3 linked regions of the Coturnix japonica genome follow. The protein of the gene in region 1 interacts with the protein of each later gene in a biochemical or structural test. Links are inferred from orthologs where the notes say so. Each region holds a gene or a part of one and is shown in the gene's direction. Other genes may lie near its edges.

Evidence for each region. The genes of interacting proteins can lie anywhere in the genome.
Region 2: the proteins of NTRK2 (region 1) and PTPN1 form a complex in vitro, tested with the Homo sapiens proteins (2 studies listed by BioGRID, with this or other methods). The link is inferred for Coturnix japonica from reciprocal best matches to the Homo sapiens genes NTRK2 and PTPN1.
Region 3: the proteins of NTRK2 (region 1) and BDNF form a complex in vitro, tested with the Homo sapiens proteins (3 studies listed by BioGRID). The link is inferred for Coturnix japonica from reciprocal best matches to the Homo sapiens genes NTRK2 and BDNF.

What each region holds. Positions count from the first base shown.
Region 1 is NC_029547.1:36,617,480-36,620,991, forward strand, and holds part of NTRK2 (BDNF/NT-3 growth factors receptor), read left to right. Parts: intron 1-778; coding exon 779-1,013; intron 1,014-3,512. UniProt on the Homo sapiens protein: Receptor tyrosine kinase involved in the development and the maturation of the central and the peripheral nervous systems through regulation of neuron survival, proliferation, migration, differentiation, and synapse formation and plasticity.
Region 2 is NC_029535.1:12,162,837-12,167,148, reverse strand, and holds the start of PTPN1 (tyrosine-protein phosphatase non-receptor type 1), read left to right. Parts: upstream 1-1,511; 5' UTR 1,512-1,531; coding exon 1,532-1,675; exon of another isoform or gene 1,676-4,312. UniProt on the Homo sapiens protein: Tyrosine-protein phosphatase which acts as a regulator of endoplasmic reticulum unfolded protein response. Mediates dephosphorylation of EIF2AK3/PERK; inactivating the protein kinase activity of EIF2AK3/PERK.
Region 3 is NC_029520.1:3,109,651-3,113,838, reverse strand, and holds the start of BDNF (brain-derived neurotrophic factor), read left to right. Parts: upstream 1-1,387; 5' UTR 1,388-1,442; exon of another isoform or gene 1,443-1,566; intron 1,567-4,188. UniProt on the Homo sapiens protein: Important signaling molecule that activates signaling cascades downstream of NTRK2. During development, promotes the survival and differentiation of selected neuronal populations of the peripheral and central nervous systems.

The sequences.
Region 1 (3,512 bases):
TCTGTCACTCTGCTTTTAAAGTTCTTCCCTTGGGGCAATTTTAATAACATATTCCTAATAGGTAATTTCAGATTTGATCTCATAGATTTTCATTAATTTGCAACTCTTTTCCAAACTCCCATGCCCTTCCCTTAGGGATGAATTAAGGCCTCACCTTTATTGATCAGAAAGGTGATTCTCTGAAACTCATCTTTGGAGGAAGGAAGGACTTCTGAGGGAAGGTTGAAAACTGGTTGTAGAATATTTTTTTCCAAAATAGCTGGGGAGAAAATGACAGAGATGGTCTCTTGGAAAGAGTAATTTGCATGAACAGAATTAAAAAGGCTTCTGAAAACCCAGAAGGGAAGAATGGATAGAAGGTGTTATTCAGAATATTGCATTAAATGAGGAATGTTTGCCTCATTAACTGGCTAGAGATTGGGTGATGCTAACAGTGTATATAGGAATGCTGATAACTATTTCTTAAAGTTATGAGGATGTAATATGAGAGAAATGTTGGTCTGAGACAGGCATCTGTTGCTCTGAACCAGTCTGCCTTATGAACAATATATATTCCTGTTGTATAATTTTCTTCAGATCACCTGTCTTTCACATAGTGAAGGAAAACAGTAAATAAAGAAAGCCAGGAGAGAAATTTTTTGGTTTTACCAATGAATCTGTAACACTTTTGATTCTTATGTTTGAGTAAGTCACTTCTCTGGTTTTAGGATCACTAGTGACTTTCACCTCTACGTTTCAGAAATGCCCTGTCACTAAATCAGCCTGTATTTTGGTGCAGGGCACATGGACCAGATGCAGTACTGATGGCAGAAGGCAACCGACCAGCTGAGCTGACACAGTCCCAGATGCTTCATATTGCCCAGCAGATTGCAGCTGGTATGGTTTACCTGGCATCACAGCACTTTGTGCATCGGGACCTTGCTACCCGGAATTGCCTGGTTGGTGAGAACCTACTAGTGAAGATTGGAGATTTTGGAATGTCTAGAGATGTGTACAGCACAGACTACTACAGGGTAAGTGAACTGCTGTGAGAGCTAGCAACTGAAGTCCTGTTTGGTCAGCTTACTGCAGTGATGTACTTATGGCAAGTTGTGGAGTCAGCAGCATTTGCTCCCACATGTGTGACTTCATGAATGGAACAGAGGAATGGATCAGATTTTTATGGCTTACAGAAGGCAATCTATGGCCAAGCTGTTAGTTTGTGAATGCTGGACTTGTATCCTGTAAGATAAGCTACTATGCATCTTTTTACATTCTCTGTATCTGCTTCTCACATCACTTGTTTTCAGTGAGTTCTTAGATAAAATGAAGATCTCTTCCTTATTCACACTAATTGTGCTGGTGCTCATAAAAGGACAATGCCACCTCTGTGCCATTGTTTGTGGGATGCCTGAGAGTAGATTGCCTTGATGTCCAGATGATGCTTGACAGGGCAGAGGAAGGTAGATATAATAATTGTTTGTTGAGTGTTGTTTTACCTAACAGCTGAAAAATGTCTTCTCTGTTCTTTGTTTCTTCTTTCAAAATGCAAACATAGTAATTAGTAAACATACAAACCATATTTCTCTTATATTTTGTTATTTTGGAAACTTGGCACCTCAAGCTACTTGGTGCATGTAAAACAAGTATGATTTCATTTCAGGACTTGGAAAAATACACAGAATCGTAATCACTGGCTCTATTTTTTCAAGGACAACAGTGAACACCAAAGGCTAGGCTTTCTTAATTTGCATTTGAAGAGTGAACTGTGCTGTGACTGAGGGCGTTTCTCTGTTCTGTATTTGATCAAGACTGCGTTCACTTAGCATCTTCATCATTACACTTAGGAATGAACGCTCAAGCTTAACAGTAACAGTTTGCAGAAGCCTTGACAGATAAAGGCAGAATTTTTTGAGTGATAAGTGTTTTGCTTTGTTTTGAATTTTGGAAAGAAAAAAAGTAAAAAGAAGAAGAAGAAGAAAAGAGAGAAAGTAGCTCTTGCCACAGAAAAACTGCATGCAGAAAAGGATGGAAGATAGGTAATCATTTGTGCTTCCTAGAGGCAGCTGAGGTTTGGCACAAGCATGTGACAGTGTACTGAGTGGTGTCTTCTTACCAGCTCATACCTCTGTTAGTCCTTGAGTCCTACACATGAGCACTCAAACAAAGCTTCTACCCAATGGAGTGGAGGTTTATGACAAGGGCAAGGCGGAACCTAGAGAAGTTCTAGGTAACCTGGATGGTCATTGTCTTTCAAAGCACTTCATTCAAGTACACTGTATTTTTCCATTGCTTCATTGTCAGTCACACTCTCTATTCTCTGTCCCTTGTTATTTTGTCCATCTTCTGAGACCAAGGGAGGAATTTTGTTGTCCAGGAAGAAAGAAAGAAGAAACAGGAGGGTGTGTGATGAGGGTGATATAATGGATGTGAGGTGTTTTAAGTAATTAAAAGTTCATTAAGGAAAGGAAACAAAATTGGAAAGAGCTGTTAGTAAAAATACACAAATTTGGCTGAAGGGAGGATGAGGTAGGCAAATGTCAGAGGGGGTGAATGAAAATATAGATTTTTGTAGTAATTTGTTTGGAACAGCAAGAAAACCAAGAAGGACTGTTTCCCTACCACCTCCCTTTTAGTTAGTGTGGAGGAGAGGCAGACCCACATCCTACATTGCAATTTTATTTTACACTGATAAAAGCTGGAAGACACAGCTGAGCCTTTGAGGTTCTGAACAGCCCTCCTTGGGTCTGCCGTGTATGGTCTAGTCAGAAGCTGAATGATGACTTTCCAGATTGTTGTCTGGAGAATTAATCTGTGACAGACCTACAAAATGAAACCACCAGTGATTACACTGGGTTTGCACTGACCGAGTGTACTTAATTGTTTATACCATGTCTAACTGTTCACACTTAATCATATGCAGGGGAGTAATTCTTCCCCAACCTTGAGTGCTCCATCTAATGCTTACTGGAAGGTTTAATACAGCTCCAAAAGCTCCATAGGAAACGTTTTGGTGTTTGTGTGTATTAATGCACTGGAATCATTTTACTGGGAGCCTACCAGCCTTGTCAGAATGCTGGATTTTCTCAAGATGCTTTGTAAGATAAGGATGGTCACCAGTACTTGTTCACCACTGGATTGTTAATGACACTCTGCAATGAATCAATGCAGTTGTTAAGGGACACTTCATGGACAGGAGTGAGAGTAGTAACCCTTGAGCTAGAAATGTGTGTAATATTCGGTGCTAGTTGCACAAGCTTTCATTTACCTCCTCTCTTCCTACATTTTCCTTTTATTTTTCATCAGATAGGAATCTTGACGGCAAAGGGAGCCCTGATCACAGCATCACAGTCTCGTGCGGATTGGAAGGAACCTTAGAGATCATTGAGTCCAACCCCCGAGATTTGAGCCTCCTGTGTAGCAGAGTGGCACTTCTACCACTTGCGCCACAGGGCGGGATTCGAACCCAGGCCTCCGGTGTTGCAAAACGGCATTCCTACCACTGTGCCACCAGATGTATGTGCTAACATTCA
Region 2 (4,312 bases), on another chromosome or scaffold:
ATGGCACTCAAAGTCATAGCAAGCAGATGGTGACATCCAAACTATTAACATGGAAAATATGTCACCTGATGAGCTGTATGAGAACATAACCACACATCAGGAAATCTGTGCTCTTAGTAAAATGTTTAGATTTTTTATACCATCAGAAACATATATCTATTTTTCCATTTGCACCTCCTTTTCACTACTACCACCAACGTTCAGTTTCCAGTCTGCAGCTTCTTTTGCTCCTGATCCCTTTTCACCATGTGAAACCACTCACGTTGTGGCCTTGATCTCTACAGGGCCACAGCTGCACAGTGAAACCAGCCTCTTGTGGCTGCAGCTGTTCTCTAGCTGATTGGGCAACCCAGCACATGGCAATCCACACCACTTCCATGCCAGTCCCTTTCTCTGTCTCTCTGAGGATATAGATTCTCCCTGTGCCACATGTTATATCCATAGGCTACTAAACCCACGTGTCTTGCTGTTGCACAGCACTCCTTCCATCAAGGGCTTGGGTTTGCATGGCCCTGCATGAGATGCATCACTGCAGTGAAAATGCTGTGATCCTGCAGCAGCCAGGGATTGATGCCATTTCCCACAGTCATAGCCCTGAAGTGCCCTGGAGCAGAGATTGGTATTTGTGTGTTGGATGAAATGTGCTGCCGTACACTGACAAACTGCCACTTGCTTTCTTACACCCCTGTACTCTGAGGGTCCTCTGTTTGTTTCCTCTTCAGCACAGCCTGCAGGGTATTGTCTGTTCTCACGAGGAGGTGAGGCCAAGTGGACCGCCTGCTTCACCTGGATTAGAAACCACAGGAGGGCTTACTCAGCAATGAAGCAATGCCATCACCTCGAACGTGTTTTGGAGAGCTATCCTCACCAAAAAGAGGCCAGAAGTGCTCCCCAACAGATTCTTCAGTGTAACCCAGGGCTAATAGTTGAATTGTTGAGTCTTACATGATGCACTGTTAGCAAAAACCAAAATGAAGACAAATGAACCTTCCATATGAACAACCCCAAATGCTGAACCAAAACCAAACAGAGAATCAGAACTAGGAATGCCTGAGGTGTAACAGCAAAAGGACACGCTGGAAGATCAGCTCTGTATAACAAAATGTTACAGTTCTGCTCAAGAAAGGGGATGTTAACGTAGACTAATGGCACAGATACGTACAGTCAGTAGCATTAGGTGTGGTGACTGTTAATAGCAAGTTAACAGCAGTTGGACGCTGGAGATGCCGCCTGCTACAGCTGGCTTAGTGACTACAGAGCTGCACTCAGACAGCACAGCAGCAGCATGGATCGTATTTGCAGGCAGCTGGATTGCTATTCATGATGTTGGCTGATTTAACGCAGGTAATCTCACAATGCTGAATTTTATCAGAAATGCAAACTAAAGCTTTAACGTTCCTAAGCTCAGTAACTCATTTCCCGGCTCCAAACCAACACATCTCGCTCCCCCTCCAACCCCGCGGCTGCGGCCGCCCCGGACGTCGCGTCTGGTGTCGGGCTGCGTAGTTCCGGCCCAGCAGGGCGGGGTGAGATGCGGAGCGGGCAGCCCGGGCCGAGGCAGCAGCAGCTGGAGCCGGAGCAGCGGGGCCAGGCCGGGCGCGTTGTTCCGGCCATGGAGATGGAGAAGGAGTTCCACCGGCTCGACCAGGCCGCCAGCTGGGCCGCCATCTACCAGGTGAGGGGCGGCCGCCCGGCCCCGCTCTGACCCGGCGATGAGGAGCGCTCTGCTCGCGGCCGTTCTCCGCTGCCGCCGGCTCCGCTCCCCCAGCGCCTGCCCCGGCCGGAGCTCCAGGCGGGCGGCGCTGCGTTCCGCTGCGTTCCGTTGTGTTCCGCTGCCTTCGTTCCGTTTCGTTCCGTTTCGTTCCGTTTCGTTCCGCTGCCATCGCCCATGTCGCGACTTTCCGTTCCTCCTGTCCGTGCTGGATCACTCGCCGTTCCCTCCTTCCCTTTCCTCGCGGCGCTCAGGGTGGCTCGGTGCAGCCCAGGCCCCGCCGCTCTCCCCGCCGGCTGCCGGCATCGTCCCTCCGCGTCGCGGCCGCTCTCGGCCTTTGGAGCTGCCGGTCCCATTGTGAGCAGCGGGTCCCGGCTGTCATTGAGCTCGGTCCGTAGCGATAGAGCGGATCCGAGGAGCAGCTGGCTGGTGACGCTCGTGCAGTTATATTGTGGCATTTGTTATTACTTTGTAACGAGCCAAGTTCTGGTGTTGTTATTGCAAACACGGATGATTCTGAGGATGCTGGCAAGGTGGATCCAGGTTAACACACACAGCTGTGAGCAGGTCTTCTGCCTCCAAAGAGCTCTGTGTGTTTATCCCGGAGGTGTGAGGGGAGCTGCAGCTGTGTGTGATACTGTGATGTGCTCAGTCACATCAGACAGCGGACATTAGAAAAAGGGCAAAAAATGAGTTTTTATGAAAGTGAAATAAACGAGCTCCAGCTTCACAACAGCAGCATGTGAGCTGTGAAAGCACCAGCTTGCAGGATGGGCATCTCCTGTTGGTTGGCAGTGGGAAAATAGACATTTTTCTTATGAAATCTTGATTATCTTTTTCAGAGAAGTCATTTTTTTTGGCAGAGGATTTCATTTCCTGCAGAGCCTCAGTGCTCGCTAACTCTGTATTGGTTGGAAGTCATGTGCTCGTATGATGATGTGTTTTTGTTAAACTTCTCTTGGTATTTTGGTCTGTTGCAGGCTGAGCGCTCAGGAAATGATGTTGAGTAGCAGCGCTGTAATGGAGGTGGTCAACTTCCAGGGGTGCAGTTTAATTACTGAGGTGGAATCCATAAGGAGCTGTGAGGTTAATAAGGAACGAGGGCTGTGGCATGTTTCCAGTGCAGCATTTGGTATATTTTTTCCTGCTTTCTCTGAATGATGTGACGCAGTCTCTGCTCAGACTGTCACAGAGTGAGGTTTGACTGAGGACTGATATTCAAATTAAAAGTAACAAGATGAAGTGATTTGCTTCCAGTTGTAGACAGGCATGAGAAGCTTGTATTTTAAGGTTTCTTGCTTGTATTTTACGGTTAGTAAGTATGTGCTTCTGCATCACATAACTCAGTTTCTACTGCATCCTTCTTTTCAGTATCAGCTGTTTTAAGTGACATGGTGGCAGATCATATACATCTAGAACAGCGTACCTCGCTGTAATCCATGCTTGTGATGTCTTGGCAGTGACATGATCAATGCAGTTTTCCAACAAATACCAATCTTTGCCTGAAGAATGGAGTTAAGTGGAATAATGTTTCTTACTGGCACAGTCTCTTCTTTCTAAAGAGTCTTTCTCCGGGTTAATTATACCATGTACTTCTACTGTGTAGGTGGTAGGATCATGATTGCTAAAATCCAGATGTGTTCACCAATGTTCTGAATGAAACATCACACGGTTTACTATCAGAATCGCTTCCTCTTGTTTCTGGGCTATATCATTGATCTAGAGATACAGCTGACTTTTAGAGGAGGCATTAGGAACACAACAGGGAGGTGAATCTGACTGCAGGGGTGGCTGTAAGGAGGTCTGTGTGGATGCCACATGACTTTGAAGGCATAACATTTTCCAAGCTTCTTTTTTTTTTGTCCAAGAGGAAGCTGTGTTCAGCTGCAATAATCACCCGGTTCTGAAAGAATGGGAGTACCAGGAGGATTGAAATGCATTCACTCTGGAGATGTCACAACAAAAAGCAGGAGCCGAAAGCTACGAAAAGAAGGTTCAGGAGAAATTTCATTGCAGCCTTCCAGCACTTGAGGGGAGCTTAGAAACAGGATGGAGGACGACTTTTTACTGGGGTGGATAGTGATAGGCTAAGGGGGAATGGTTTTAAACTGAAAGAGGGGGGATACAGGTTTTCACTTGACGTAGTGAATTCAGTACCAAATTTTAATGGTAATTCTATATGTAGAAGTCTTCAATAATTTTGATTTCTAACTCCTTACACACGTTGGTAGAATGAGATACTATCTTAAAAACACAAACCTCAAATACAGGTTAAATTGCTTCTTGTGTTTACATAAACCTGGTAGGTTGATGTTAGTATGTTGGCTAATGATATTAAGTCTGATGTGTTAATAACATTAAAGAGATCTGTGAATTATTCAGCGTTCAGCTAGGAATCCCATGCAAAGCAGACACTGCAACCTGCACTAACTTGATACTGTTGGTTTTCACTGAAGCATCTATGACATTTTCTCGACGTTAGTTTTCCACGTGAAGGGTGCAGAATTTGTGCTGTAGATTGCAAAATAAGAAAGAACTGATTGTCATTTAGATTTCCAGGTCTGTTCAGAATGGGGAATATTGGGCGCTGTACTGGCTCTG
Region 3 (4,188 bases), on another chromosome or scaffold:
CTTAAAGAAGGCTTGTGTGTCTGGAAAGTATTTCCTCCCCTTAAACTTCTTAATAGACAGCATTTGCTTGATGCTTGGGCGTGCACATTAAATCCTTTATGTTGCTGGTCCCTGTGGATCCTCCAGAGGCACCAAATAACTTTGAGTAGTGCCTCCAAACCTTGTGGTGTGCTGGATCCTGTGTTCCTTCCTGCTAACTGGAGAGATTAGCAGAGCCCTACTCCTTTATCCCCCTGAAAGAGGGGTATTATGTGCAGGGGAGCCAAGTCTCTATAAATCCATAGGTTTCAGAGGCTTGAAAGGAAGCTGTGACTCCAAGCTGTCTTCATTCTCTGCAGAAACTTGTTCCTGTGCAGCTCACCTCCCTCCACTGCATAATGCTAGGAACTAGTCTAGATGTGAGTCTTTGTCAGAAGTTGTCTTAGCTCTTGGTATAGGGGGTGAAGGAATAAGAGAAGAATCATCTCTAATTAGACAAGCCTTCACTTTTCTGCCCATAAATAGAATTCAGGAGAGATCTGGTATATTCAAGGAGGGGGGGAATAGAGGCCTGAATTTCTAGAAGACAGTTGAGCATAATTTGAACTTGGCGTATACCTGTAGTTGTCAAAGGAATGCTGAGACATCTCGTGAGCTGTGTCCCAGGTCTGGCCACTGTGAAGGAGCAAACAGTGGGAAGATGTTCTCCCCAGCCCTGGGGTCCTTTCTGGGTTCTGTGCTCCAAAAGGTAGCAGGGGGTGCAGGTGGGAACCTTTCAGCATGATTAAGCTTCTGGCTGATGAGTGCCGGGGGGAGGAATTCAAAACAGCTGGTAAATCTATGGGGATCAAGCTGTGTAGGCCATTCTACAGGGATGGGGGTGTTTTTAAAAAATAAATAAATTTAAAAATCTCTAAATGTTTCACCCTGACAATTCAAAGTGAGTGTCAGACGTATATGTGTGCGTGTATATGTATACACACATTTTTTTCCTTTTTTAATCTTAGCCAGCTGAAGTTTTTATTTCTACTCTTAAATGTGTACTGGGGTTACTTTTAGAAATGATTGTGTGGAGACAACCTGATCTGCAACCCATATCTTGGGTAACTCCTTGATAAAAAAGGACTGAATCTCATACACCACTGTAACTGGTTATGTATTTCTGTTGATTTCTGATTAAGCAAATGTGTGAAATTCAAAACAGGAATGCTGACAGCTATTGTGCCGATTGGGGAATAGTGAAACACACAGGCTCCGAAAATAACAACATCGTGTCTTTCTGCACTTGTTGAGGTGGAGGCTGCCAACTGATGGCCTGTAGCTCAGAAGCCGCCTGTTCGTGAATGCTTCTGTTCTGTTACGTCATAGGATAAGGTTTCTTGCCCACCACAGCAGTGCCACAGTAAGTTGGGTGTCCTGCTTGAGCTGGCTGAAGGTGAAGTCCATTTTCTACATGCAGTGCGGTACATTGTAAGTGAAACAGGGATGCAAAGGGATTGGAGGAGTATAGAGGAGAGATCTGGCACAGCTCCAGCTCTGGGCGTGCTGTGCTCCTGGGAGGATCCAGGAGATCCACCTTACCCAAAGGTAAAGCACGCTTTAATGAGGAGAACACATTTTTTCTGTGTAAATTTACCAGGATTTTCTGATTGGCTAAAATGAGGTAAAATCCTTTCTCCTTTTAAGGCATTGCACATATAAAAGCTCGTAAGGAATTTGGAGGGACTGGCTGCATCAGCTTCCAGATGGTACCACAGGCTGAGCTGCACCACTGGAACTGGAGCTCACTGGTGGGCACTGGTCTTGGGGTTGGGGTGTTTGGGTGGAAGTGCTGCTCAACCAAAGCTACTGGTGAACATGCCCAACCACTGCAGTGGCAGCCACCATTGCCCCCACTGCCAGCCATCCTCATGCCCAAAAATGTGAGCAGCTGAAACACGTACTACAGAGCTGTTAGGAGCAAACTTTGTAAACTGCATTGTCATGGAGACAGTATGGATCAGCTGAAGGAGCATATGGTTCTTTACTCCTTCGAGCTATCACTGGAAGGAGTAGACTGAGGAATATATTTAGTGTTTTCTTTTCAGCAGATGACTAAAGATAAGGAAATAAAATTAGCTTGAGAAAATCCTCCTCCTTCTCTATGGGAAGTTGGCTGCTGTTCACTCTGCATTAGAAAAATATTACAGAGATCTCTTGTTTTACAGCTGATCACTGATAGGCATTTTGGAAAGGTCAGATCTGAGAGCTGCTTTTCAGAGATACACGAAGGAAAACATGAGTGGTTTTTTCCCTCGAAATTATAGGGATTTGCTTCTCTTAAAAGCAGGGTCAGTGTGTGATCTTTAAAGCTAAATCTTCCTTAAGACTTTGGGGATCTCAGCCGTACCCTCTTGCCTAGGATCACGTGGCAGTTCTGGGGCATGCTGGGGGCTCTCCTTGTGGGGTTTGTAATGCATTTAGTAGGGCTATGGTGGAAATAAGGGAGCCCTTTGTCTCACAGTGTTGGAAAGAGATGAACTCAGCTAAAAAAAGACAGTGAAATTGTTGATGATATCACTATTTTTCAAGAAAAGCTTTGTTTTGGGAGATGGGAAAGACATTTTTGTTTAAGAAACAAACAAAAGCATCATGTAAAAATAATTGACTGGCCTTATGAACTCATTCGTGAGCAACTGGACCGCTGGAGTTCGTACAAGTTAGACAACAGATATAAATATCTAATTACACTTCTTCAGCAGCCAGTCCTCAGATGGGAACAGTATGAGTATAATTCACTCACTAATTAACATTTTGAGTAAACGATGGATTATTCTCTGCCTTTATTTGTGCTCAGAAGGGATGGCCTGACTGCAGCATCCCAAACAGAATTACTTTAGGCAAGATGTTCCCATTGCCAGGCTGAACCCTGTGGCTCAGGTGGAAGAGGATGATAGGAAATTCCTTCCACCTGGTTGTGGTCTGCTTAGGAGCAGTTATATTCTTTCCCCATCATGTATGAATTAGCATAGTATCTGAGGAATTTCAGGGCTTACTCAGCGATACCTTTCTGTACAGGAGAAACAAGGCACAAATGGAGATACTGGCTAAAGCAGCTCTCTCTGCAGCCCCTGGCTCTTTGGTGACAGAACTGCTTTTTAAGAGGGAAGGGAAGGGAAAGGTGGGGGGTGTACAGATAGCTGAAAAGCTGCTAACAGCCCCATCCTGGCAGGGAAACTGTTTCTATTGTTTCTGCTCTCTAATGGGCAGGTATGGGACCTGGGGTCAGGGGAGGGGATATTATGCAGACCTGCTTTCTTGCTCTCTTCCCAGATTTGGGGTGCTGGGCAAGAACTTGTCTGCCTGAGCAGAAGGAGAAGGGGAAAGAAACATCACAACCAGGACGACACAAGAATAGCTTTGGCTGTGATTCAGCACATGCAAATTTGACTTTACTGGGACTAGGTGTTTTGATGGACTGTGACCTTCTTACACGTTTTTCCACAAAACTGCATCCATTTTGCACTTGGAAAGTCTTTTTTGATCACAGAACTATCTATTTTGGTGTAAATGGTGCTACAGACTGCTCAACCGAAGTGCTAAATAGGATGCGGAGAAGACTGTGAAGCTGAGCAACCAAAAGACGGGAGGTGCTTGAATTGACACTGCCAAACACTTGAAGTTTGGCCAAGTTTTCCGTCTCTCAAAACCAGTACTTGTAATGCTCCATAATGGGCGATGTTATATACCAGACAGAAGGCATGTATTACACAATGGAATTTGATGGTTTTAGCCACGTGTATAATTAGTGATAGCAGCTTGGTAATGGTAACACTGAGAAATACTTTTGCCGTCTCTTCTTTACATTAGATTGAATCTTTCCCAAGGAGGAAAATCTAGGAGGCACTAGTCAGTCACTGACTCACTCTCAGCTGCCTCTTTGCTAAACCCTGAATGTATGCCATAGTAAGTTATTTGTCACAGTGACTCAGCATTGTAGGCTCCTTTTTAATTTCTCTCCCTCACCACAGAGCCAAGAAAATCTCCCACCTCCCCATGCCGTATGCTACTGAGATTGCAGTTTGTATCATCGGCCAAAGGATAAAGAATTTAAATTTGTGCTAGGAGCCTTATAAGGGCATTAACACTTGCGTTTGGGTTGGACGTCACTATGGCAAGCAAAGGAAAGGTGCCAATAATAGATCCCCGGTGTTTGTACATCGCACAGTG